7 linked regions of the Xenopus tropicalis genome follow. The main gene of each other region encodes a partner of the protein of the gene in region 3 in a complex. Links are inferred from orthologs where the notes say so. Each region holds a gene or a part of one and is shown on either strand. Other genes may lie near its edges.

What was found.
Region 1: ogt (region 3) and kansl1 share a complex: the UniProt entries of both Homo sapiens proteins name them as parts of the NSL complex. The link is inferred for Xenopus tropicalis from reciprocal best matches to the Homo sapiens genes OGT and KANSL1.
Region 2: ogt (region 3) and kansl3 share a complex: the UniProt entries of both Homo sapiens proteins name them as parts of the NSL complex. The link is inferred for Xenopus tropicalis from reciprocal best matches to the Homo sapiens genes OGT and KANSL3.
Region 4: the proteins of ogt (region 3) and znf831 are in contact, whole or in part, in a crystal structure (PDB 8FUF), measured with the Homo sapiens proteins. The link is inferred for Xenopus tropicalis from reciprocal best matches to the Homo sapiens genes OGT and ZNF831. Residues at the interface, in NP_858058.1 of Homo sapiens: Phe723, Ile734, Met779, Ile787, Ile790, Asn791, Arg792, Gly793, Leu808, Ala809, Thr831, Arg832, Ser833, Gln834, Tyr835, Gly836, Leu837, Pro838, Glu839, Arg877; in NP_001371283.1 of Homo sapiens: Phe937, Ser938, Pro939, Lys940, Tyr941, Leu942, Leu943, Arg944, Leu945, Pro946.
Region 5: ogt (region 3) and wdr5 share a complex: the UniProt entries of both Homo sapiens proteins name them as parts of the NSL complex. The link is inferred for Xenopus tropicalis from reciprocal best matches to the Homo sapiens genes OGT and WDR5.
Region 6: the proteins of ogt (region 3) and tab1 are in contact, whole or in part, in a crystal structure (PDB 4AY6), measured with the Homo sapiens proteins. The link is inferred for Xenopus tropicalis from reciprocal best matches to the Homo sapiens genes OGT and TAB1. Residues at the interface, in NP_858058.1 of Homo sapiens: Asp441, His506, His508, His509, Asn567, His568, Pro569, Gly641, Tyr642, Thr643, Lys644, Ala646, Gln849, Phe878, Pro904, Val905, Ala906, Pro907; in NP_006107.1 of Homo sapiens: Pro389, Val390, Val392, Pro393, Tyr394, Ser396, Ala397, Gln398, Ser399.
Region 7: ogt (region 3) and phf20 share a complex: the UniProt entries of both Homo sapiens proteins name them as parts of the NSL complex. The link is inferred for Xenopus tropicalis from reciprocal best matches to the Homo sapiens genes OGT and PHF20.

What each region holds. Positions count from the first base shown.
Region 1 is NC_030686.2:17,274,763-17,278,262, reverse strand, and holds part of kansl1 (KAT8 regulatory NSL complex subunit 1), read left to right. Parts: intron 1-1,959; coding exon 1,960-2,101; intron 2,102-2,198; coding exon 2,199-2,312; intron 2,313-2,731; coding exon 2,732-2,793; intron 2,794-3,500. UniProt on the Homo sapiens protein: Non-catalytic component of the NSL histone acetyltransferase complex, a multiprotein complex that mediates histone H4 acetylation at 'Lys-5'- and 'Lys-8' (H4K5ac and H4K8ac) at transcription start sites and promotes transcription initiation.
Region 2 is NC_030679.2:125,205,363-125,209,354, reverse strand, and holds the start of kansl3 (KAT8 regulatory NSL complex subunit 3), read left to right. Parts: upstream 1-1,192; 5' UTR 1,193-1,284; exon of another isoform or gene 1,285-1,352; intron 1,353-1,365; exon of another isoform or gene 1,366-1,451; intron 1,452-3,992. UniProt on the Homo sapiens protein: Non-catalytic component of the NSL histone acetyltransferase complex, a multiprotein complex that mediates histone H4 acetylation at 'Lys-5'- and 'Lys-8' (H4K5ac and H4K8ac) at transcription start sites and promotes transcription initiation.
Region 3 is NC_030684.2:44,085,390-44,089,634, reverse strand, and holds the start of ogt (UDP-N-acetylglucosamine--peptide N-acetylglucosaminyltransferase 110 kDa subunit), read left to right. Parts: upstream 1-1,445; 5' UTR 1,446-1,713; coding exon 1,714-1,750; intron 1,751-4,245. UniProt on the Homo sapiens protein: Catalyzes the transfer of a single N-acetylglucosamine from UDP-GlcNAc to a serine or threonine residue in cytoplasmic and nuclear proteins resulting in their modification with a beta-linked N-acetylglucosamine (O-GlcNAc).
Region 4 is NC_030686.2:3,178,641-3,182,140, forward strand, and holds part of znf831 (zinc finger protein 831), read left to right. Parts: intron 1-3,153; 5' UTR 3,154-3,204; coding exon 3,205-3,500.
Region 5 is NC_030684.2:8,199,565-8,203,638, reverse strand, and holds the start of wdr5 (WD repeat-containing protein 5), read left to right. Parts: upstream 1-1,274; 5' UTR 1,275-1,317; coding exon 1,318-1,398; intron 1,399-3,152; coding exon 3,153-3,261; intron 3,262-3,334; coding exon 3,335-3,408; intron 3,409-3,727; coding exon 3,728-3,817; intron 3,818-4,074.
Region 6 is NC_030680.2:120,893,810-120,897,309, forward strand, and holds part of tab1 (TGF-beta-activated kinase 1 and MAP3K7-binding protein 1), read left to right. Parts: intron 1-2,036; coding exon 2,037-2,181; intron 2,182-3,500. UniProt on the Homo sapiens protein: Key adapter protein that plays an essential role in JNK and NF-kappa-B activation and proinflammatory cytokines production in response to stimulation with TLRs and cytokines.
Region 7 is NC_030686.2:42,973,796-42,977,992, forward strand, and holds the start of phf20 (PHD finger protein 20), read left to right. Parts: upstream 1-1,397; 5' UTR 1,398-1,663; intron 1,664-4,197. UniProt on the Homo sapiens protein: Methyllysine-binding protein, component of the MOF histone acetyltransferase protein complex.

The sequences.
Region 1 (3,500 bases), on a different chromosome or scaffold from region 3:
TGTCCTGTCTGAGCTGCTATTAAATCCCCAGACAGACTGTCGAACCCCCAGCCATGCAGCACAAGGGTCACATGATTCCATGGATATCCACAGCAGGGGAACATAAAGGCAGGTGGGGGGATGATACAAGATCCTGGGGCCCTAAGATTGTTGCACAATTACAGCTTTCATCCCACCCAACCCAAGCCCGCACTAGGAAAATATAAATGCATTCATCACCTCTTAAAAACCATCCCATGCTGTGTGCACCATTAGGAGTATGGCATTATTGGTTGTGCCCTACTAAGCTGCCTGACTATATGTATATTTCAATCCCAACCTGGATTTTGTTGTGGAATGGCCACTGCTGTGTGTGGAAAGTTCCGTAGTAGTGCGGACTGATGTGGATGATTAAATACTCTGTAACGGGCAGGGTCATGTGTTAAATGAGTAATAATACTTTTTCATGGTTATATTTAAAGGGCAAGTAAAGCCATCCTACAATAAGGCGTGTTCTGGGATGTGCTGGCAAAATTTTACCAGGTCCCAGCACAGAGGAGCTGTATATGTTTCAGGGCTCCTATTCCGCCTTTCTTACAAACATTACCTGATCCCCATCCAGTCAGTGTTACTGGGCAGGACATTTTACTCCTGCATTTAGTTAAGGTCTCAAAGGTTTATTATAGGGGCAGTTAGCTTTGCAATTTATTTATTATTTTAATTTGGCCATACACAGGCCAATAAAAGATGCTGACCTGTCCATTCTGACCAAGATGGCAGCCTATAGGCCCATGAAAAATAGGCCTCTGCTTTTGGTGCGTAGCCCCCACCGACAGGACAAGTGGATAAACAGCTGCTTCCATGCACTCAGATGTTTTGCTGCATTGAACTTCCCTCCCACATACAGACTGCTTTTACCAAGGGATCTGGGTGACTGCAGGTTCATTGTGGAGGATTGGTTACTACATAGTGACTCGCCAAACGCCTTCCTTCTGCTTAATATATAGCAATTCCAAAGCCATTCTGCCCACCCTCCCTTTCAATTTCTTATAAAAGAGTCAAACCCATTTAGGGAAGTGGTGCATGAGGCTATTTGCACTGGTTTTCTGCTTGGTGGGTAGGTGGCAGAATACTAGGAATTGCCTCTCCATTGATGGTTATAGTACCCTGCTGGTGCGCTTGCAGATCAGGTGATTACCATACATAAGCCAGCATTTTGCCACTGAGTGAGTGTGCAAGAAGCAAAATATTAGGAATAGCCCAAAACAATTAGAAAGTGATTAATTTTTGCGGGGCAAACAACCTTGGCCTTCTGTCCTTTTGTTTGCATTATGTTACATTAACTGGGCACATACCAATCCATGTATAGTTACTCAGAATACTTTTCTGGGCAATTTTGTGTTATTGTATTAGCAGTTTTTCACTGTTGATATCATGAGCCCCCTGCCCTTGTGTTCTGGTGGATGCAAGACAGAAAGGCAAAAAGCTTTAATTTACTTGTGCAAGATGCATCTCCTGACACTTCTCTGCTAGTTTCTGTTGCTCCTGTCACATTGAGTGTAGAGCGCCTGTTGGCATTACTTGCTCCTTTATATTATAACCAAAACACCACTAGAAAGGGAAGAGCCAGTTAAGTCACAATAGACCCACCCCTAGTACCTTTCTGAATGGTTTGGCCTGGGGGCTGAATTGTGTATGTGCCGTGTTGGCTGGGTGTGACCAACTAGGTCTTGTCATAGCCTGTAACCCAGAGAGATGCCATAGAGCTGTGCCACCCTTGGTACCTCCTGCACAGAGCACAATACTGCGGATAAGCGCTCTGTTGGTGACCCTAATATAGCAGTAAATACCAGCTGCCAACTCAACTGGCCAGCATTTTACTGGAACAGTCATAACTTTTATTCCTTGTTAATTAGGATAATGGTTAAGGGAGTCATGGGACAATTAAATACGATCTCCCATCATTTTATTTGTGTGCAGGAAGCGCCGGTGTGAATGGAGCTGGGCCCAGGAGCGTGCGGATGTGGTGAGTCGATGGAACTGGCTGCAAGCTCATGTCTCCGACCTGGAGTACAGGATTCGCCAGCATACAGATTTCTACCGACAGCTCCGTTCAGGGAAGGTAAGGAACCAGGGAGGTGATATAGGGCTGGTTTCTTCTAAATGCCCCATGCACAGTGAATCTGCTATTAACATATGGCCTGTCTGTTTGTCCCTAGGGGCAAGTGGTCCTGGGGGAGGCATGTCCTTCCGAAACAGCTGGGGAGCCTCTGCGCTCTTCCCTTCTGGACTCAAGAACGTCCTCTTCTCCTTCACCAGATGCAGAGAGGCGGGTGAGTTGTGGTTCTGTGAGGAGCAGCATATTTGAGGAGTGGATTTGGGGGTGGGTATAAAAATGAAGCTACTATCGTTTTGTGCACATGGTGGCTATTTGCTTGTATTTTGCTGCAGGAAAGGGCAGACTTCCCTCCTGTAAATAAGCGTGCAGATGTCTTAACCACAGTCAGTTGGGGGTTAATGTCATAGCTAATGTCATGTGATTGTCTCTTTTGTGTGGATTTAATTCCCTGCGTCTGTTTCTTGTTCTCTAGCGCCCCCTGCTGTTGACACGTGTATGCAGCCATGCACCACGTGAATAAAAATAAGCATGTTAGTCCTGCACACTTGGCTCATTTCAGGGCACCAAACAATAAACATGGCTTAATTTTTTTTCTTGTTAACAAGGACGTCAACTTTTTGTGCTTCTTCATAGGCTGATTCCAGCACCACAGAAGCCAAGTCCTTGCAAAGACCGATTAATGGGATTGTTAACATGTAAGTAGTAGTATCTTTTTTGTATTTTCTTATTGTATGGATTTTATATAAATTAATATAATACATACACACATACATGTTTCAATAAGGAAAAAGGAAGAAATCTAAAAGCATGAAGGACCGATCTATGTTTCTTAACTCACAAGTAAGAAGGTTAATAGTGAAGCATTTAAAAATTGCAAATCAGAGGGGCAGACATTTCTTTTAGGACCGATAAATACTACAAGTGTTGTAAAACACCAATGAAGAAGGGAAAAATAGAAAATGAGGAAGAGATTGCTTCACGTCCATGGACTAGTTCCAAAAATGTATAAATTATGTGAGTTGAGATTGTTGCAGATTATGCATGGTTTGCAGAACATTTTGGAGGGCTCCTGTCTCCCCTTAGTCTTAGCCTTAGTTATTTCATTGGCGTGTGTTTATCGGCACAGTCAGCTGAATGAGCAGCCCCAGGTGGTAAACTGCTTTGATAGCAAGGAAGCCTGCCTAAACCATAGCAGGGTGGGGGATATTAGTTTCACATGCCCCTGTTGGAGAGGTGAATCCGGCAAAGGCTACCAAATTCTTCATATGCAGGTTTTAATGCTGTTACTATAAGGTTTTATTTGTATATGGAAGCATTTCAGGCTCCTGGCAGTATCTGTATTGAAATGTGATGTTTGGCATTCTTTTATTTCACCCTGCGTATTTCTCTTTTTTTCTCCACT
Region 2 (3,992 bases), on a different chromosome or scaffold from region 3:
ATTTACAAAGCATTCCCCCATGAAAGAGATCAATGGAATGAAATCTGGGAATCTCTTAATGCCCTGACCAACCTAGGCCATGTGCTGAGCAGAAGTCCCACTGTAAATAAGTATTTAAATATACTATATACTGTAGTATATATTTTTTCACAAATATGTTTCCTTTTTAGCCAAATAGGGATCAGATGTGCTGGTTGCAGCAGATATTGTTGGCAACCAGGACAAAAGTGTAGTTCCCAGTTGGGGCTTGGTCCAAAGGCACCATGAGCAAGAGGCTGAGGGTTGTATCATTCACAACTAGGAAAAAAAAACTTTTTGTTTCCAGTCACAAGTCAGTACTTTCTGCAGATAACAAAATTAATTTTACTTTTCGTTAAACATTGAGTGCAGAGACTGCAAACAACTAGAAAAAGTGATAACCTTCTTGTGCAGATATATATGACTTGATACAATGTTGGGCACAGCTGCTCCAGCAGCAGTAGTTATTGGGCTATTACCCACACTCATCAAGAATAAAACAAAGTCGGATTTTTGTTCCCCAACACAATTAAAGGGGTGGTTAACTTTTAGCATGTTATATAATCACCTATTCTAAGTAACTTTTCGTTGGTCTTCGTTATTTATTTGTAATAGTTTTTAATATATTTGCCTTTGCAGCTTTCAAATAGAGGACACTGACCCCGGCAGCCTCTCCTATTCATATATCAGTCTCTCATCCAAACCACCCCCTGGTTGCTACGTTAACATGGACCCTAGCAACCAAATAACTGCTTACAATTCCAAACTGGTGAGCTCCTGAACTGAAAATGAAATAACTTAAAAACTACAAATAATAAAAAATGAAGACCAATTGTACATTGTGTGAATATGACTCTCCGATCCATAGTTAACTCAAAGGTCAACGACCCCTTCAACAGTGGGCTGAGACACAACTGCATAGTCGCAGCTACATTTCAGGAACAGAGGCGCTATCGCCTGCCGTCAAACAAGACAACCAACTCGAAAAGTCTTTTTCATGTTCCTTTACAAAAACCGAGGCCGCAAGCAAAGATACAACCCTCACAGTCAACAGCAGCTGACCCTAAATGGCTACCACCTCTTACTAACTTGTACACTGAAGCGCTCCACCCATTCGCGTCACTCACTCACGCAAGGCTCCTACGTATTGCGGCACTCTCTCACGCAAGGCTCCTACGTACGCGTCACTGCGTTATTACGTGAGTTCGTGACGTCTCGCGAGATGAGACTTGAGATGTCGGGATTCGCTGTTCGGCAGAGGCTGAGGTGCGGAGCGTTTTAGCAGCGATCCGGGCTGCGGGTTGTGTGAAGCGGCACTGTTGGGCGGTATGCATGTATGTTACACAGCCGTACTTCAGCTCGCACAGGGCTTAGGGTGCGGAGAGCATACGCCTCGGCCCCTCACAATTTTAGGGGCGTCACCGTGGAAACAAGTAATCATATAATAGATGTGTGTCCTGTACACATCAGGGATGTACAAGTTGTAGCCTTCCGCCTTTTGTTTATCTGCAGCTCTCTGCATCTCCTATAGATAGTTAGCTCTCAGGATCAGGGCCCTCTTTACCTCCTGTGTTTGAATGTATGGTGTATTCACTCTGCTGTTGTACAGAGCTTGCCACCTTATACATCCATGTTAGTAATGATAGCTGTGCTGATGCAGAGTGTTGCATTGCCTATGAACTCCATGACATTTTGCCCTGCATGTTGGTTGCCCAACCATCCTGGGGCCCCCTCAGTGCACATTTGTCCCCAGTGACACTTTCTGTCATATTCATAATGTAAGAGGGAGCTTAATTAGTAGGTTTGTATTTTCCCATTGTATTGTTGCCTCATTTTCTGACATCACGTCATGACATGGGCAGATTTAGGGTGAAGACACACGGCTACTAGTAGCAGCTACTTGTCATGGCTACAGAACTAGACAGTGCTGATCTTTTACAGGGTATTTTTTTGGTGATTAGTAGCTGTAACAAGTAACTGCTACTGAGTAGCTCTGTGTGTCCTTGCCCTTAAAGGAACAGTAACACCAAAAAATGAAAGTGTATAAAAGTAATTACAATATAATGTACTGTTGCCCTGCATTGCTACAACTGGTGTGTTTGCCTCAGAAAGACTACTATAGTTTATATAAGTAAGCTGCTGTGTAGCCATGGGGGCAGCCATTCAAAGGAGAAAAGGCACAGGTTACTTAGCAGATAACAGATAAACCCTCATTATATGGGGCTTATCTACTAGTTATCTGCTATGTAACCTGTGCCTTTTCTCCTTTTTTCCAGCTTGAATGGCTGCCCCCATGGCTACACAGCAGCTTATTTATATAGTAGCTTTTCTGTAGCAAAAAACACCATTTTTTTGCTGGGCAGCAGTACATTATATTTTAATTACTTTAAAGGAGAAGGAAAGGCTAAGTCACTTGGGGGTGCCAAAATGTTAGGCACCCCCAAGTGACTTAGAACGCCTACCTTGTACCCCGGGCTGGTGCCCCTGTACGGAGAGAACAGCACCAGCCCGGGGTAGCTGCCGGCGCTTCCTCCTTCCTCCTCGCTGCGCGCGCATGCGCAGTAGAGTGAAAAGCCGAACTTAAACATTAAAGTCGGCTTTTCACTCTACTGCGCATGCGCCGGCCGGCGGATTTCGCCGGCAGCGCGCAAAGGAAGGAGGAAGCGGTGTCTACAGGTGCCCCGGGCTGGTGCTGTTCCCTCCGTACAGGGGCACCAGCCTGGGGTACAAGGTAGGCGCTCTAAGTCACTTGGGGGTGCCTAACATTTTGGCACCCCCAAGTGACTTAGCCTTTCCTTCTCCTTTAAAACACTTAAATTTTTTGATGTTACTGTTCCTTTAAGCATCTTACCTGCCTGTTTATGGGCCCACCCTGGCTGATTACCTGATGAAAATTGGGCAGATACTTATCAAGCAGGTTTGAAAATATTGGCAGGCAGGGGCTGGCATTGGTGTGTTCATGCGGTCTTCTCCTGACACTATAGGCACCTATTATGATCCATTCATTAGCCCAGAGACTAAACAATTGGATCAGCCCAATTTGGCCCAGAACGTAGGTGGTCAAATTGGGCAACAATAGAATCGTTTGGCAAAAGTCCAGATCTTAATGTGTATAGTTAGCAGGGAAGACCATAAGAATTTTTTTTCTGATTGTACAAATATTTAAATATTATCTTACGTATTTATCAACACAACTTTGTCAGTATTCATGTTCAAGCTGATGTGAAGGGGTAAGTAGTTTACCTTTAAATTAAAGGGCATTTATCATAGTAAAGTTTCTACCTTCACTGGTGGTGCTGTCTGGTAGAGCTTGCAGTCAGTTCTTTGTTGAGCAATATGCCGTCTGCCCCGGAGGGAGCTCCCAGTATGGGTGGATACATTGGGGCACACGTGCTCATTATGAGTGTGTGCCCCAGTTGGCTCACTGTATGCATGCGTGTGGTGTAGGATAAGGGGGACGAAATCACCAATCCTGTGTCACAGGTTTTCCTCTTCTGACATTGTCTAGCTTTCATTGGGGTCCTGTTTTGTCTACAGTTGTATTATTTATTATTGTCTTTCTATTCAGGTCCTCTTCTTTTAATCTTCCTGTGTTTTATTAACACCAGCTTGTTTGCTACCATCCCTTTAATAACAATTTTGTTTATTGTACTGAAGGATTAAGAGTTGTGTGTGTATTTGTGTAAGGGCTTTTACAGGTGGGGTTTTCTGTATGTTTGAGACAAAGGTTTAATCGCACCTTCTTGTTTTAACACGTTAAAATATAATTGGGAAATGTATATTTATCTAGAAAAGCTACAAATTGGATGGGTGAAGTTAAGTGCCAGAAGCACATGACATGCTTCAGGCTATTTTTTGGGGGAAATGGGTCCTCTAAGGTCCCTGTAACACAGGTCTGGGCTAGGACCCAAAACAGGCCCTGGTATTTCAAGTACACAGAGGCCCAAAAAGCCCCTCACCAGCCCAATAAATAG
Region 3 (4,245 bases):
AAAGATATTCCACCAAGGACTTCCATGACCATAACTTTATACAGGTCATGAAACGCCAAGGTGACTTTTAATATCCTCATTTTATAGCATTGTGTGCATTATTTATTATAATACAGAAGATTTGATGAGTCGTGATAAAAATTACATCACTAAACACCGATTACAACTGATGACCATTTACAAGGCTATAATTTACAATAAATTCATGGCTCTTGTTTATTATATGTGTATATATATATATATATATATATATATATATATATATATATAAATCTAGTGAATATTGGTGCACACCGGGAATCATTTTAAAAAAATAGCTTTTATTGTAGTAAATACAATACAGGACAGGCCTGTCCTGTAAATGTATTTTCTACAATAAAAGCTATTTTTTTTTTAAATGATTCCCGGTGTGCACCAATATTCACTAAATTTTTATTTTTAATGTTTAAGTGGTAGCACCTGGGTCTTTTGACCATGCTTAGGAGTGCTGAATCAAAGTGTATATATATATATATATATATATATATATAGTGATTTTTTGCACTACAGTTGCATTTAAAATAAAGTTACATGTACAGGTATGGGATCCCTTATACGGAATCCCGTTATTCAGAAAGTTCCAAATTAAGGAAAGTCCATAGACTCCATTATAAGCAAATAACTCTAATTTAAAAAAAAATGATTTCCTTTTTCCCTGTAATAATAAAACAGTACTTTGTACTTGATCCCAATTATGATTTAATTAATCCTTACTGGAGGCAAAACAAGCCTATTGGGTTTATTCAATATTTAAATGATTTTTTGCAGACTAAAGTTATGGAGATCCAAATTACAGAAAGATCCCTTATACAGGGCTACCCCAGGGGAACCTTGTAGCTAATGCCTTGTCCAGGGTTCCCATGCACCAACTGGCGCAGCAGCAATCAACATGAAACAGGATGCAGGCAGTGGCTATAAAGCACAACTGTACAGAAATGCAAGGAGCACCTTTTGACTTAACTACATTTAATGAATGGGGGTTTTAAATGCAACACACAGTAATATTTGTGGAAGCACACAATGACCCATTAGGTAGAAGCAAAGAAACTGGGGTAAAGTAAGAATTGGATTTTTGGGTGTTGCTATTTTCCCTTTCAGATATTAGGCCCACACTGGCAATCTGTAGATTCTGGCAAATGCCAGAGGGGCTTCTGTAAGATGCCATAGTCACTCACTATTTATTGGGCTGTTTGGGTCTCTGTGTGCTTGAAATGCCAGGGCCACCTTGTGAATATCAAATAATTATTTCCTATAAACCACATCACCTTTTAATATTTTCCACGTTCACAGCTTTCCCTTAAAAAATATGGCGCACCGTGAGTTCGCACGCCGCCATTCTGCGGCCCTCGTCTTGCGCATGCGCACAACATACCCTATTTGTCGCATTTGCTTTGTGTGGAGGGATACCTTGCGGTTATCCTGTAAACACGCTCTCAGCGTTAGTCGGTATTTGGATGTTGCCGAAAATATTATGCTACACTAAGAGATCATTTTTATGTTATAATTGAAGTAAAACGTCCAGACGGATCATCTGGAAAGCCGCTCCTAAAATCGCGGATTGATACGTCGAACTACTTTTCGAGGAAAGCGTTCCGATATTACCACCCGGCGCCATTTCACAGGCAAGACTGACAGGCCGCTGCAGAAACCGAATATCGACACTCCACCACCGACATGGCGGCATCTGTGGGCAGTGTGGCTGATAGCACAGGTAGGATTTTTTTTTACAATTTAGACGTTATATACCAAAGCCAGATGGGCCTTGTATCAGTGGCTCCGGTAACGTGTGAGTGGGGGTCAGTGATAACAAAGCAGTTCTGAGGGCGCAGCCTGCATAGCCAGAGTGTTAGCAGCCAATGGCAACTGTACGTGTGTAGATCTTTGGCCAGTCCTTAGGATAGCTTTAGGTAGTTGTTGGAACACTACAGCCCCCATTTAAGGTGATGTTTGGGATGCAGGGAGAGTAGTTCTGCAACAACTAGACCTCTGAAGGTTGCATGTTGCTGGCTTGGATTACCTACCCATAGAAGCAGTGTTTAGCCCATATCCTTAGACGTTTATAACAGTAATTCTACTAACAGCAACAATGGGCTTTCTGCCAAACAGCCTAATCGTTGTTATACATTCATTTATGAGATATTTATTATCCCATTATAACATAAAATACACTTGTACTATAGCAGGCTGCATAGTTCAATAGTCTCTAAATACTGAGTTGCCATACATTATAGGCTATAGATAGATTTGTATGTATAGACACCTGGCAGGGAAGACTGGGTTAAGGAACAGTAACACCTAAAAATGAACGTGTTTTAAACTAATAAATAATGTACTATTGCCATGCACTGCTAACACTGGCCTGGTTGGTTTAAAAACCCTACTATAGTTTATATAAATACCCTGCTGTATAGCCATGGGGGCAGCCATTCAAGCTGGAAAAAAGGAGAAAGGGCACAGGTTACATAGCAGATAACAGATATGCTCTGTAGAATACAATGGTGTTTTATCTGTTATATGCTATGTGCCTGTGCCTTTCCATTTCTTTTTCCAGCTTGAACTGCTGCCCCCATGGCTACACAGCAACATAACTATAGAAATTATAATAGGGTTTCTTAAGCAAACATACAACTTTTACCAGTGCAGGGCAACAGTACATTATGTTTTTATTACTTTGATACATTTTCATTTCTTAGCGTTAAGGTTTCTTTAAGGCTTTGTATGTGAAAAGGTGGCCAGGTTAATGGAACAGTTAGGCACACTTCTTGGATAGTAAGATTTCTTTCACTGTTGCTATGACAGAGGGAACATGTTTGCCCCAAAACCTTGCGTGACATGGCGAGATGTGAATTGGGCACACTGAGAAAAAAGTGATGCCATTGATAATGCAAGTGTGACCTCTGTGAGAGAATATGGTGGGGGCACGGGACATGATAGTGAGAGAAAAGATGTATCATGCTGTTGATTATATTTGTATGTCCCTGTAGTTGCGTATGACCTGCCAGGATAAGTATTGGGACCACTGGGGCTGTGACAGTAAGAGGAAAAAGACAATATATTCTGGATAACACGTTTATTCTTATAGTTGTTTCTGTTCTGACAGTATGAGTATTGGATCACTGGAGGTTTGGCAGTAAGAGGAAAAATACATCATGCCATTGGTAACACTTGTATGTCCCTGTAGTTGCGTATGACCTTCCAAGATGAGTATGGGAACCATTGGGCTGTGACAGTAAGAGGCAATAGACATTGTCATTGATAAAGCAATATGTGTCTTCATGTAACCTGGCAAGATGAGTATTGGGGGGCACTGGAGCTATGGCAGTGCTGAAACATACGTCATACTAGGAATACATTGTGTCCCCATAACTGTGTGTCACTACTAGGGTGAGTATTGGGGGCTCTGGTGTTATGGCAGTAAGAGAAAATACACATTATGCCATTGATTACGTGTATGTGTAGAGCTGGGCGGTATGACCAAAAATTTATATGACGGTATTTTTTTTTTTTTTTCCATGCATGATTAGGTGTTACCCCATTTCCTAATAAATTAGAGAATAATTACTGCAGTATTGAAAATCAGAGTCAGGCAAGCGAAGGATCGGCAACAGAAAGTCGTAAGGTAAATCAGGCAGGCTTAGTTTCCCAGGCAAGGCCGCAGACAACATAGCACAGGAGGAGGCGTTTGATAGCTTTAAATACCCCCCACGCATGCGCAGAACCGGCGCCATCAGCGCCTTGCGGACGTGCACGCTTTGACATGTACGTGCGCGCTTTGACATGTACGTGCGCTTTGACGCACGCGCACCGTCCCGCGGACAACGGGACGCGCGCGAGACCGGGAAGCACGGGTGTTTACCCTGACACCCCGGTATTGCGGTATCTGAAAAATGAATATAGTTTAAAAAAAAAAAAAAACAACCGGTATTCGGTATTAAACGGTATATCGCCCAGCCCTATGTATGTGTTCTTTTATCTGCATGCGACATGGCAGGGTGTGTGTTGTGCTCACTGGAGATTTGGCAGTAAAGAGAAAAACATCATATAGGGATAACAATGTTCCTGTAGTTGTGTATACTGGGGGCACTGGAGCTACAATAGCGAGGAAACATATTGCACTAGGAATAACAAATTGGTGCCCTTTTAACAGTTGTATGAGTTGGGTTTTTTTGTTGTGATTATGTTATTTGTTCAATTTTAACTTCTGCT
Region 4 (3,500 bases), on a different chromosome or scaffold from region 3:
ATATCCAATGTAACCCAGCCGGTCCCCCATAAATATCCAATATATCCCAGCCGGTCCCCCATAAATATCCAATGTAACCCAGCCGGTCCCCCATAAATATCCAATATATCCCAGCCGGTCCCCCATAAATATCCAATGTAACCCAGCCGGTCCCCCATAAATATCCAATATATCCCAGCCGGTCCCCCATAAATATCCAATGTAACCCAGCCGGTCCCCCATAAATATCCAATGTATCCCAGCCGGTCCCCCATAAATATCCAATGTAACCCAGCCGGTCCCCCATAAATATCCAATATATCCCAGCCGGTCCCCCATAAATATCCAATGTAACCCAGCCGGTCCCCCATAAATATCCAATGTATCCCAGCCGGTCCCCCATAAATATCCAATGTAACCCAGCCGGTCCCCCATAAATATCCAATATATCCCAGCCGGTCCCCCATAAATATCCAATGTAACCCAGCCGGTCCCCCATAAATATCCAATATATCCCAGCCGGTCCCCCATAAATATCCAATGTAACCCAGCCGGTCCCCCATAAATATCCAATGTATCCCAGCCGGTCCCCCATAAATATCCAATGTAACCCAGCCGGTCCCCCATAAATATCCAATATATCCCAGCCGGTCCCCCATAAACAATCAATATATCCCAGCCGATCTCCCATAAATATCCAATGTAACCCAGCCGGTCCCCCATAAATATCCAATATATCCCAGCCGGTCCCCCATAAACAATCAATATATCCCAGCTGGTCCCCCATAAATATCCAATATATCCCAGCCGGTCCCCCATAAATATCCAATGTAACCCAGCCGATCCCCCATAAATATCCAATGTAACCCAGCCGATCTCCCATAAATATCCAATGTAACCCAGCCGGTCCCCCATAAATATCCAATGTATCCCAGCCGGTCCCCCATAAATATCCAATGTAACCCAGCCGATCCCCCATAAATATCCCATGTAACCCAGCCGGTCTCCCATAAATATCCAATGTAACCCAGCCGATCCCCCATAAATATCCAATGTATCCCAGCCGGTCTCCCATAAATATCCAATGTATCCCAGCCGGTCCCCCATAAATATCCAATGTATCCCAGCCGGTCCCCCATAAATATCCAATGTAACCCAGCCGATCTCCCATAAATATCCAATGTATCCCAGCCGGTCCCCCATAAATATCCAATGTATCCCAGCCGGTCCCCCATAAATATCCAATGTAACCCAGCCGGTCCCCCATAAATATCCAATGTATCCCAGCCGGTCCCCCATAAATATCCAATGTATCCCAGCCGATCTCCTATAAATATCCAATGTATCCCAGCCGGTCCCCCATAAACAATCAATATATCCCAGCTGGTCCCCCATAAATATCCAATATATCCCAGCCAGTCCCCCATAAATATCCAATGTAACCCAGCCGATCCCCCATAAATATCCAAAGTATCCCAGCCGGTCCCCCATAAATATCCAATGTATCCCAGCCGGTCCCACATAAATATCCAATGTATCCCAGCCGGTCCCCCATAAATATCCAATGTATTCCAGTCGGTCCCCCATAAATATCCAATGTAACCCAGCCGGTCCCCCATAAATATCCAATATATCCCAGCCGGTCCCCCATAAATATCCAATGTATCCCAGCCGGTCCCCCATAAATATCCAATGTAACCCAGCCGGTCCCCCATAAATATCCAATGTATCCCAGCCGGTCCCCCATAAATATCCAATGTATCCCAGCCGGTCCCCCATAAATATCCAATGTATCCCAGCCGGTCCCCCATAAATATCCAATGTATCCCAGCCGGTCCCCCATAAACAATCAATATATCCCAGCCAGTCCCCCATAAACAATCAATATATCCCAGCCGGTCCCCCATAATTAATCAACATATCCCAGCCGGTCCCCCATAAACAATCAATATATCCCAGCCGGTCCCCCATAAACAATCAATATATCCCAGCCAGTCCCCCATAAACAATCAATATATCCCAGCCGGTCCCCCATAAACAATCAATATATCCCAGCCAGTCCCCCATAAACAATCAATATATCCCAGCCAGTCCCCCATAAACAATCAATATATCCCAGCCGGTCCCCCATAATTAATCAACATATCCCAGCCGGTCCCCCATAAACAATCAATATATCCCAGCCGGTCCCCCATAATTAATCAACATATCCCAGCCGGTCCCCCATAAACAATCAATATATCCCAGCCGGTCCCCCATAAACAATCAATATATCCCAGCCAGTCCCCCATAAACAATCAATATATCCCAGCCGGTCCCCCATAATTAATCAACATATCCCAGCCGGTCCCCCATAATTAATGAATATACCCCCGCCGGTTGCCCATATACAGTATATTATGGCACGATAGCTTTCATTCTCCTTCTCTTCTGTTCTACACAATAAATCATGTCACGTGGGTCATTAAACTGCCAGCCCATTGGCCGAACCTCCCTACTCATTTTCATGGAAAGAATCTCCTATTCCCTTCTCAGTATTGATAATTACATGAAATTGAATGTTCTTCTCTTTTCATGATTTGTGTAAAAACAAAGTAAATTGTATGTATACACTGCTACACAATGAACCCGGCTGCCTTTGATATTTACAGTGGTATTCGTGGCATCCCCTGTGCTTGCCAATTAGACCTGGATATTGACGTGGCTTCACGGGAGGGTAAGAATGATAATAACAGTGGAGGGCAGTTGGCAGCTCAGTTGTCCCGAATGCCATTCATAGTCAATGCATTCACTTGAGGCCAATGTTACAGATAGGCTTCATCTTTTGGTGGAAAACAAGCTGCCTCAGGGGGCAGTTATCCTTGCCCTGGGCAAGGTAGCAATAGTAGAGACACACTAGGGTGACCCCTGCGAGAATCAATACTAATATTATTACTGGAATGGAATGGAAACACTCAATCTCCATAGAGCTTATCCGTTAGTGGTTGGGGGCTATGAGATGGTTCCTCCCATCTGTTGACAATGAAGTCTTCAGCAATGTTCCAGCAATGTAACACTGGGTAAACAAACAGGAGTGTAAGGAGTAAGGCAATTACTCTAATGCTACAGTAGGTTGTTGAGTTTTGCTTTAAGATCAGCCGCCCCTGATACAATTCTTTTCTTTTCCTATAACAGAAGAGCTGGTTGATGAGAGGCCCCTGGAGTTGTTGGTGAGAAGGAGTCGAAATGGAAATGTCGAGCAGCTCAATCTTGTCAACGGAGTTCCCATGGGCCACATCCGCCGCTGCCAGTGATATCTCTTCCAAACATCCCGCAGAGAATGAGGGGGTCTCCCCACAAGCTGTATTCCTAAAGGCTCTCACTGTCCCGCTTTATCAGTTGGCCCAGCAAGGGAACATTCAGCCGTCGTTCCAGCTGGCAACTGGTGGCCAAGGCTTATCAGTGGACAGTTCCAATGTCTCCTTGATAATAAACCCACATACGCCAACGGTCACCCAAAATTCCCCAGCCCCTACTCTCAC
Region 5 (4,074 bases), about 36 Mb from region 3:
CCCCCCATACCTTTATATCTCTCTCTCATACCCCCACAGATACCCCAGTACCCCCCTTACCTTTATATAGCCTCTCTCATGCCCCCAGCTACCCCAATAGCCCCCATACCTTTCCTATATATCCTCTCTCATGCCCCCAGCTACCCCAATAGCCCCCATACCTTCCTTTATATCCTTTCTCAAACACCCCAGTTACCCCCATACCTTTATATATCCTCTCTCATATCCTCAGCTACCCCAATAGCCCCCATACCTTTATATCTCTCTCATACACCCACAGCTACCCCAATAGCCCCCATACCTTTCCTTTACATCCCCTCTCATACCCCCCAGCTACCCCAATAGCCCCCATACCTTTATATCTCCTCTCTCATACCCCTACAGATACCCCAATAGCCGCCATACCTTTATATAGCCTCTCTCATACCCCCACAGATACCCCAATAGCCCCCATACCTTTATATAGCCTCTCTCATACTCCCACAGATACCCCAATAGCCCCCATAACCTTTATATCTCCTCTCTCATACACCCACAGCTACCCCAATAGCCCCAATACCTTTCCTTTATATCCTCTCTCATACCCTCAGCTACCCCAATACCCCCCATACCTTTCCTTTATATCATCTCTCATACCCTCAGCTACCCCAATAGCCCCAATACCTTTCCTTTATATCCTCTCTCATACCCCCAGTTACCCCCATACCCCCCCATACCTTTATATATGCTCTCTCATACACCCACAGCTACCCCAATACCCCCCATACCTTTCCTTTACATCCTCTCTCATACCCTCAGCTACCCCAATAGCCCCCATACCTTTCCTTTATATTCTCTCTCATACCCCCAGCTACCCCAATAGCCCCCATACCATGATATATCCTCCCTCATACCCCCACGGATAGCCCCCATACCAATATAGATACTCTTTTATACCCCCACAGCCAGACCAATAGCCCCCATACCTTTATATATCCTCTTTTTTTAACCCCACAGCCACACCAATAGCCCCCCATACCATTATATCCCAAACAGCCACGCCCCCTCAGAAAGGTCTCCCTATTGGCCACAATGTTTCCCCAAAAAATCTACAGCCCCACTACTGCCTGTACTGTTACACAATGCTCACACGTGCACAATAGGAGAACCCCATACCACATATAAATACATTATTCTGGAAAGGCTTCTGGTACAAATAGTAGTAAATAAGTAATAAATATTGCTAATTATGTCCTTTTCTTTGTTTACAAACACCTAGCCTGCATAGTGGGAGTGGCCATCTGCTAACTCAAGGGGCCCCATTCCAGTTCTTGCACCATGGCAACAGAAGAAAAGAAACCCGAAACTGAAGCTTCCAAGACGCAATCCACCCCATCCTCGTCCAATAATCAGAGCAAGGTTGGTATTCTTCTACATGTGGAGCGGCCAAGATGCTTCCAGTAAGGCTTTGGGTGTTACTTTTGTGTGAAATCCAGCAGTTATGGATCATTAATCCTGCTTATAAAGGGTAATGTTAAAGGGGAAATATATCCGCCTCTGGCTTTTTAAATATACCCTTAATATAAAGGGCCTCTTATAGGTGGGTAGTGTAGTAGGGTTATAGGATCCAAAGGGTTACATATTCTTTTCCTACTTAAATATACATCTTAGAAAATTAACTTTTAGTAAGAGGTCCCAAGAATTGGCCATTCTGTAACATACTAAAAGTTAAAGGGGATGTCAACCCAAGATAAAATATTGACTAAAGAAAATGTATTTTCAAGCAACTTCCCAATATCCATTCATTCCCCATTCTCACTGGGTTTATAGTTATGTGTAACTGTCACTGTGTCTGTCCCTTTCCCTTCCCTGCACTGCTGGTTCTGACTCCTGATACAACTCCCCAATACCCATTCATTCCTCATTCTCACTGGGTTTATAGTTATGTGTAACTGTCACTGTGTCTGTCCCTTTCCCTTCCCTGCACTGCTGGTTCTGACTCCTGATACAACTCCCCAATATCCATTCATTCCTCATTCTCACTGGGTTTATAGTTATGTGTAACTGTCACTGTGTCTGTCCCTTTCCCTTCCCTGCACTGCTGGTTCTGACTCCTGATACAACTCCCCAATATCCATTCATCCCTCATTCTCACTGGGTTTATAGTTATGTGTAACTGTCACTGTGTCTGTCCCTTTCCCTTCTCTGCACTGCTGGTTCTGACTCCTGATACAACTCCCCAATATCCATTCATCCCTCATTCTCACTGGGTTTAATAGTTATGTGTAACTGTCACTGTGTCTGTCCCTTTCCCTTCTCTGCACTGCTGGTTCTGACTCCTGATACAACTCCCCAATATCCATTCATTCCTCATTCTCACTGGGTTTATAGTTATGTGTAACTGTCACTGTGTCTGTCCCTTTCCCTTCCCTGCACTGCTGGTTCTGACTCCTGATACAACTCCCCAATACCCATTCATCCCTCATTCTCACTGGGTTTATAGTTATGTGTAACTGTCACTGTGTCTGTCCCTTTCCCTTCCCTGCACTGCTGGTTCTGACTCCTGATACAACTCCCCAATATCCATTCATTCCTCATTCTCACTGGGGTTTATAGTTATGTGTAACTGTCACTGTGTCTGTCCCTTTCCCTTCCCTGCACTGCTGGTTCTGACTCCTGATACAACTCCCCAATATCCATTCATCCCTCATTCTCACTGGGTTTATAGTTATGTGTAACTGTCACTGTGTCTGTCCCTTTCCCTTCTCTGCACTGCTGGTTCTGACTCCTGATACAACTCCCCAATATCCATTCATTCCTCATTCATATACTGAAATATGGCAGTAGATCCTCACCCAGGGTTGGGAGTTTTATGAATTTAAGTTGAATTGTTTCTGGTTTCTCATGAATACGTTCGACTCAACCAACTTTTGGGTACTTTCCAATACGCGGCTCTGATGTTTGTAGAGAGATGAAATATAGGGGGTGGGTGCTGAATGTGACAAATTTCAGGTTTGTGCAGCGGTTACATACAACATGGCTGCCTGCCCTGGGGGCTCCCTGTCACTGTAGGGGGCTGTTTTTTATTTTAAAACTATTGTTTCCCCCAACTCTCTGCCTCAATGTCTGCAAAATACATTTCTGAAATCCCCATTTTTCTCTTCTATTCATAGCCTGCACCAGTAAAGCCAAATTACACGCTAAAGTTCACCCTCGCCGGACACACCAAGGCCGTATCATCTGTAAAATTCAGCCCGAACGGGGAGTGGCTCGCCAGTTCATGTAAGTGACATTCCACCTATCGTTATGTCTTTGCCCTAAAGAAACTACAGTGTCACTTTTTTGTTCTTTTCAGCGGCCGACAAGTTAATCAAAATATGGGGGGCGTACGACGGCAAGTTTGAAAAAACCATATCCGGCCACAAGTTGGTAAGAACCTTTTGTTGTTATTGCTCGCGTCTAGCCGGTGTTGAATTCCTGTAGCACCATATATTTAAATTCCACCAGCGTCTGCTTCGTGTAACATTAAACCCATACTGTTTTGCACCTTATCCCCCCAGCGCCGTGCAGCAGAAGCCAATTAGAGTTTGCATTTGCCAGACACCTCCCCAGGGGCCTCCCTAATTTATAGACGGGCTTGGGGATTTCATGTGTTTTAATTTGGCACTGGTTAAGAAATATAAACCCCCTTAATCAAATCCGATTAGTGAAACTTTTATTTATTTATTCTTTTTATTTTTATATTCAGGGAATATCTGATGTCGCCTGGTCCTCTGACTCCAACCTCCTGGTTTCTGCTTCTGACGATAAAACTCTAAAAATCTGGGACGTGAGCTCGGTGAGGCCTGATTGACTTACCGTTGGGAAGAATATGTTTTTGTGTTTCTTCATTGAGGGGTAAAATGATAACACAGGATACATTCCCTATTTCTCTTACATCATGGGGGACACAGGAACAGCCTAATTGCCTCGTTAATCCAGTGGGCAAACGTGGCCTTGGTAGTAGGCAGAGCCTCTCTAGAGGCTAGGCCTAACCTCCTGTCCACTTAAAAAGCTGAGCCCTGTTGGCTAAGCAAAAGGGTTAAAGAAAAGAGG
Region 6 (3,500 bases), on a different chromosome or scaffold from region 3:
TCATGTACCCACATCACTTAATTCCTAGCAGAGGGCAGAAACTATTATATATATATGCACCCCGCAGAATATTGAGCCTTGGAGTGCGGACACCATTTGGATTGATATATATATATGTGTGTGTTTGTTGAGACTTTTGGATGAAGAAGTGCTGATGTATGCAAGTTTAGTTCTGGCGATATTGGATGTTTACATTATCCTTATATGTAGTACATTATTCCCCACATGAATGGCATATATTTTGGGCAATATCCTTCCACTGGCCCACTGCCTCGAACACCTGGAAAAGCACTACAACTGCCTATATGTTAAATTAACACTTCCCTTGTTTAACTGGCCTGTTATTGGCCAAATATGACTGTGACGCTGATTGCCCCAGATTAAGATGTAGGATTTTAGCTTGGATTTAAAGGTGAATTTGTGGCAGGGACATTAATTCCAGCATGAGTAGGCTGTCTAAAACAAACAATAGTACCTGCCTGCTCCCCAGTCTTTTGCATACCTAAAAGTGGGTGGCACAAGCAGGTGGAGAGCAGGTAGGATTGCCTCCTTCCGACGGAGCGAATCCCGGGGACATGGTGGGTGATGGCAGGGGCGGAGTCAAGCCACTGTCAAGCTAAGAGTCCTGGCAGGGATTCTAGGCAGGGAATTTTGACCCAGATAGTCCTCCCAAAAACTGTGCTGTCTGGGTCAAAACCGTAGGTGGCAACCCTAACAACAGGGGACGTGAACAGGGCTAGCAGCTGGCTAAGGAGGGAGGGGCTGGTTGCAGGTACGCAGGTTTTTTATTGGGTGGACCTGACATGACATAGTTATGCCACAAAAATATCAAAAGCAGCAGAGAAATTACTTTGGGGGGACATGGAAAATGGAGGTTATTAGCAAATGCATTACTGTCTCAAATGAGCAGCACAGACACCAGATTCAAAATGAATACAAAACAATATGGTTGTCAAGGTAATAATAATATAGGCCCATATATGGCCTGCTTAACATTCCCAGATGTCATAAAGAAGGTTGTGACCAGAAAGCCTAGAGCAAAACCAGATTAGAAAGAATACAACTGTAAGCAAAGTCAGTAATACCTTTATAAAATCAATGGGAAATGAAAATAATAGAACTTAGTTAAATACAAAGGTGAAAAAATCAAGGTGTAGTGTCCTTTAAAGGAGAACTAAAGCTTAACTAAAGAAATAGGCTAAAAATGTTGTACATTATTAAGTCACCCACAGCCCTTTAGCAGGGAAGATCCATGCCCCCAGTAGCTCCTCATCTGATTCCCTGCACATGCTCTGTGCTGTCAGTTACTGAGCTTAGGGACCAACTCAAAATATACTGAAAATATAAATGTAACAGTATAAGGCTGATTAGTGATTCATTTGGATTCACATAACATGGCAGCTCTGAAACCAGTGCAATTAGCATCGGATTTTAATAATCAAACCTGTAGCATCAGTTTATATGACAGAACAGCCTCATTTTCTGCTTGATAATTTGTAAGGACCCTAAGCTTAACTTCTCAACAGCTGCCCTGAGCACACTGAGCACGTGCACTGTCCCAAACAGAATCCAAGATAAGGAGCTCCTGTGACAACTGTAAAGACCTATATCATTACTGCTACAGAGATGCTGAAACTTTTGGCCAGTGCAGTCAGTTTAGCATATAAAATATGGCATTTCTAGCCATATTCATTTTTAGGATCTAAGAAGATTGCCAGTGGGAGATAAGCAAGGTTATTTATGTGGGTAGTGGATTCGTCATCATGTTGTTAATTCTTCTGTCATTTTCCCTGATGCCGTGGTAGTGACACTAATACTTGTGTAATGCCTACATGTCTGAGCAGTGAATATTCCCCTCCAGTTTTGCTTGCATGATTTCATCTCATATGACAATGTATGTGCTAGGTCATACAAAGGGATTTTCAGCACACACTGGTGTTGCATGCTTGTATTCAAGTTCAGTTGGCTTGCTTCACATTACATACAATAGGCTTGTCCTTCCATTCACTGATCCACTCTTTTCTCTTCCTGTTTAGCACAGCCATATCCAAGCCTATTACTGCAGAGCCAGAGATCCATGGCTGCCAGCCATTAGATGGTGTCACTGGATTTTTGGTCCTTATGTCAGAAGGACTTTACAAGGCTCTGGAGTCAGCCCACGGGCCTGGACAAGCCAACCAGGTACCATTTTGCTTTGTTCTTTCTTGTCCTTTCCATATTAATGTGTTATAAACACATACAGGTATGGGATCTATTATCTGGAATGCTTGGGACCTGAGGTTTTCCAGATAAGGGGTCGTTCCCAAAACTGCTTGATAAGGAGAACTTAAACCCTTAAAATAAATATGGCTAGAAATGCCATATTTTATATGCTTATTGAATCAGCCGAATGGTTTTACATCTCCATATTATTAACGATCGAGGCCTTTAAAGTTGTCAAAGATTCACCCTATCTTGGATTCTGTTAGGAGGGTCTGTTACGCTGCACATACTCTGTAAACTCTAGTTTAGGGATCAAGCAGAAAATGAGTTTTGCCTGTCTGAGATGCTGATGCTATGGGGCTGATTATTACATTCTGGTGCTAATTCCACTGGTTTTACAGCTGCCGCTTAATGAAAATCTGAATTAATTACTATTCAGCTTTGTATTGTGACGTTTATATTCTATGTATATATACATAGAGGAAGAGTACAGTCAGTACTCGAAACGTTGGATTTTTTTCAATAAATTTTTTCACTTTATTGCCAAGTCCTTGTGTGTGCGGCTCTCTGTCCCTAAGCTCGGTAAATGACCGCAGCCCAGAGCATGTGCAGTGGATCAGCAGAAAAGAAGATGGGAGGCTACTGGCGGGCATCTTTGGGGGCACAGATCTTCCCTGCTAAAGGGCTGTGGTTGCTTTGGGCTGGTTTAGAAGCCCAAAACATAATGTTCAACATCTCTCGTCAGGCTTTAGTTCTCCTGTACAAATGAAATAGACCCAAATATGATTGTTTTGCCACCAGTATGAATTCATGCAGCTAAAGCTGGCCATACACGCACCGATAATATCGTACAAAACCTCGTTTTGTACGATATTCGGCCCGTGAATGGCAACTCAGCGAGGCGATCGATATCGCAGGAGGCTGCTGATGTCTGTCGTCTCGCCGATCAGGCAGGTTAGAAGATTTTGATCGGGTGCCATAGAAGGCACCTGAGCAAAATCTGCCTTCAGGGCTGAATCGTCAGGTGGAGGTAGAAATCCTATTGTTTCTATTTCCATATCTGACGATTCAGCCCTGAACGTCAGTGGAGGGTTGGAACGATCTTTCGTGCGACCGATGGTCACACAAAGGATCGAAAATCACCACGTGTGTAGCCAGCTTTTGTTACCATCAACTACAAAGTACTGTTAATTATTACAGAAAAAAAGAGATCATTTATTAAAATGGACTTTATTGGAAGTGACCTTTCTGTAATTTGGAGCTTTTGGGATAATGGCTTTGTAGATAAGGCATTCCAT
Region 7 (4,197 bases), on a different chromosome or scaffold from region 3:
CCCCCCAGCCCAATAGTGACTGTCTATGGCACCTTACAGCAACCCCTCTGGCATTTGCCTGAACCCACAGATTGCCAGTCTGGGCCTGGGCCCTGGCATTCCAAGTACCCAGAGGCCCAAACAGCCCCCCCAGCCCAATAAATAGTGACTGTCTGTGGCATCTTACAGCAGCCCCTCTGGCATTTGCCTGAACCCACAGATTGCCAGTCTGGGCCTGGGCCCTGGCATTCCAAGTACCCAGAGGCCCAAACAGCCCCCCCAGCCCAATAAATAGTGACTGGCTGTGGCACCTTACAGCAGCCCCTCTGGCATTTGCCTGAACCCACAGATTGCCAGTCTGGGCCTGGGTCCTGGCATTCCAAGTACCCAGAGGCCCAAACATCCCCCCCTCCCCCAGCCCAATAAATAGTGACTGTCTATGGCATCTTACAGCAACCCCTCTGGCATTTGCCTGAACCCACAGATTGCCAGTCTGGGCCTGGGTCCTGGCATTCCCAGTACCCAGAGGCCCAAACAGCCCCCCCAGCCCAATAAATAGTGAGTGACTATGGCATCTTACAGCAGCCCCTCTGGCATTTGCCTGAACCCACAGATTGCCAGTCTGGGCCTGGGTCCTGGCATTCCCAGTACCCAGAGGCCCAAACAGCCCCCCCCCCAGCCCAATAAATAGTGACTGTCTATGGCATCTTACAGCAGCCCCTCTGGCATTTGCCTGAACCCACAGATTGCCAGTCTGGGCCTGGGTCCTGGCATTCCAAGTACCCAGAGGCCCAAACAGCCCCCCCAGCCCAATAAATAGTGACTGTCTATGGCACCTTACAGCAGCCCCTCTGGCATTTGCCTGAACCCACAGATTGCCAGTCTGGGCCTGAAAACCCAAATCCTTTTCTAATTCTTAATTCACACCCCCAATCAAATTAAAAGTAAAATACAAAATAAAGCACCTGGTGAGACTCAGCACCTGCATGCCAGGATTTATTGTAAGGCTGTGGGCTGGTAAGGTGCAGTATAACAGCTGGAGGGCCATTGGTTGGTCGTGACTGACGTAACCAGCAAAGCACCTAACAATTGTCACACAGTAAATAGCCTTTCTGCTAGAGGCCTTTGCTACTGGGTGGCCATGACGTGCTCACACCTAAAACACAACCCAGACTAAATCATATCCACGCATTTTTCTTGTTCCTTCAGACATTGCGCCTGTCACAAAGTTTACAGTGAGTCAGCACATCACTTCCCTCATGCGCCACAGCCAATTCTTTCTCAGGAAGGTCTGGGGCGGAGCGCACAGAAAAACCGCGCCAAACTCATTCATCAGCTGACCGCGCTGACCAATCCCTGCCCCGCTATTTTCCTGGCGGGGCGGGCGGGGAAAATCGAATTCCCCGCCCAGAACGCGGGTACGCGCCCCGTTGTACAGCCGTCCCCTTCTCTTCTGTAGGTGCGCGTCCGTGTCATTAAGTGTTATGGGGCGGGGGCGCGCCTTGCCATGCCGCGCAGTGTGAAAAAAGAAGGAGGCGGTGGTGGTGCCTGTTCTTGTGAGGGAGGATAATGATTTATATGTGACTGGAAGAGCTCACTGACACACCGGGAGGTGGAAAGGTTGAAAGTCGGAGGGAAATTACTAAGGAAAAGCGAAGAGAAGCCAAGGAGTGACAGAGCTCAGGTACTGCGTGCTCTATCCTGCTGCTGCTGCTGCTGACAGGGGCGGGATGCTGGGGCTGCCGGTTGCTGGGTAGAACAATGGTCACATGGGCGGGGCGCTCATTCCCTGTACTTGTGATGCAGGTGGGGGGGCGCCTCCGGGACTCTCCGCCATTACTTTATGTATTTTTTTAAGGTTTTGGGGGTGAAGAGAAAGGTTGCTGAGTGGGGAAGGCAGGCCTGCAGCGGCCGGTCTTTTCCCTGCCTGATAATGATGGAGCGGTAAGGGAACCAATTACGTGCGTAGAATAGCTTGACAGACGGCTGCTTGAACCAATGAGCGCGGAGGGGCGGTACTTGCCATGCTTTCTGAAGTCCCTTTAAAAGACGCTGCTGTCTAAAGGAAACGCGGTCGAAACGTTGTGCCATGTGGAGATACGGTCTTCCGTTATCTTATATAAAGAAGATGGAATGACCAGGGCTTTAGGGTGCCTAGGATCCCCAGCTTTTCAGGGGGACCCCATCTGGGGGAAAAATACGAATTTATTGAAATTGTTGGATATAGGTACAGTGCAATTCAGCAACGTTTTAATATATATTTTGTATCATCTCATTATTCTTCAAACAGCCTGGCTTAGTTGGAGTGCTGGGAGTTGCAGTTCATCTAGTTGTAGGATCACATGGTGGCTATCCCAGAACTCTATTACTCCCTCTTACCCATAGGATGGGGTCCCAGCCTTCCTACTATGTGAAGGGTTAACATATCTGGCCCCTTGATGGTAAATGCTACTCCTATATAAAACTGTCCCTTTAAATCAGTGCTTATGGGATTTTGCTGCACTGAATACAAATCAGTGGGCAGGGGAAGCCGAGCCATGTTGTGTGGCTGTGTGACGCAACCTGTTGGTGAACTTTGTAAACATCGGTCATTTCCAGGATTCAAACCCACCCAGAGGATGCGCAGCCAATCTGGGCCACGCACAGCTGTCTGTAGGGGGGTACAGATAGGGGCAGCCAAACCGCTGTCCGTAGAGCAGAACTTGGATGAGGACGGCTAAGAAAAAGTCCATTATAACAATGTTAGTCATCTCTTTTCTGAGACAGGGAATATGCTGTGACTGGGGGGCTGGAGCCCTGGGGTCTAGATTTCCATTCCTGCAGGAACCAACCTGCTAGGAGTCTGTATGATTTACCTACGTCTGTAGGTTTTCTGCTGCGCTCAGTAGTAACACACAGGTTAATTGGCTTGCAAGGGAATTGACCTCAAGGAACTTCAGTGGGGCAATAACCAATGTAGTAGATATTGAACAATCCCAATATAAAGCTTGGTTTAACAGCTCAACATGATAGCAATAAAGTAAAGATGCACCAGCTGTGGTTGAACTTCAACAGTTTATGTGAGTGTATAGATTGGTAGGTGTGGGTTGGGTGTGCTGGGTTTACTTGGATGGGTTGAACTTGATGGACACTGGTCTTTTTTCAACCCTATGTAACTATGTAACTCACAGCATCAGTGACTGTTAGGTAGTTATAGTTCAGCAACAGAGACACAACTGCAGTTCAGCACCAATGACCTTTTGCTGTTGGGATGCTGGGGATTTTAGAAGGTTTGAATCAAGGCTGTGTCTTAGCAAGATCCGGGGAGCTGCAAATTGTACATACCCCAAGGGCAGGTTATAGGAAGAATTGTGGTGTTTTTAGTGGGTTTGAGGAGTATTTATAATTATTATTAACATTTATTTATAAAGCGCCAACATATCCCGCAGCGCTGTACAATAAGTGGGTTACATACATTGGACATACAGAGCAACATATAAAGCAATCAATAACCGATACAAGAGGTGAAGAGAGCCCTTGGGGCAAGAGGTTGTCTGGCTTTGGGTGCTGAAACCCTGCGGGGTCTGTAATGGGTTGCAGAAGTGAAAAGGAGTTATTGCTTTAAATAATAGTAGGTATTTTGCTTGTGTAGTTTATATGCACACGTGGTTCTGCTCTATTAGATATTTACCATAAGGAAAGGCAGACTTTATTCTTTTTACGCCCTTAAATCTGTGGTTTGAATGGTTTTGTTCTTTATTTTACGTTATTGATGTCACTGTCCGAGAGAAAAAATAACTACTGGAAATGGGTCAGAAAACTCACAGTATAGATAAAAATATGGCTAAACGGATATTTTCCAGCCCTTTTAAAGTTACAGTAGAATTTAAAGTGATGTTCCTTTTTTGACAAACACAACAGTGATTGTAATCTCACATGTGTCACCCGGGTCACATGCGTCTCCTTAATCTCCTATGAGTCTTTTGTGCAGACGTTCTTATAGATGCAGTTCACCTTCCACACACAATCAGACCCTAGGCCTGTGCAAATATCTTGGAACATTACTAGATACAATTTGAGTCTAGGTGTGCTTTATTGATATATTTTTTGTTTAGCTGCTGTCTGTGACCAGTATCCCTGCACATACATCTGTCAACCCAACCCCATGTATAAAGGTGGGTATACACGAACCCATTCCGGCAGCTTATCGGCCTGTGTATGGGCACGGACGGCTTGCCA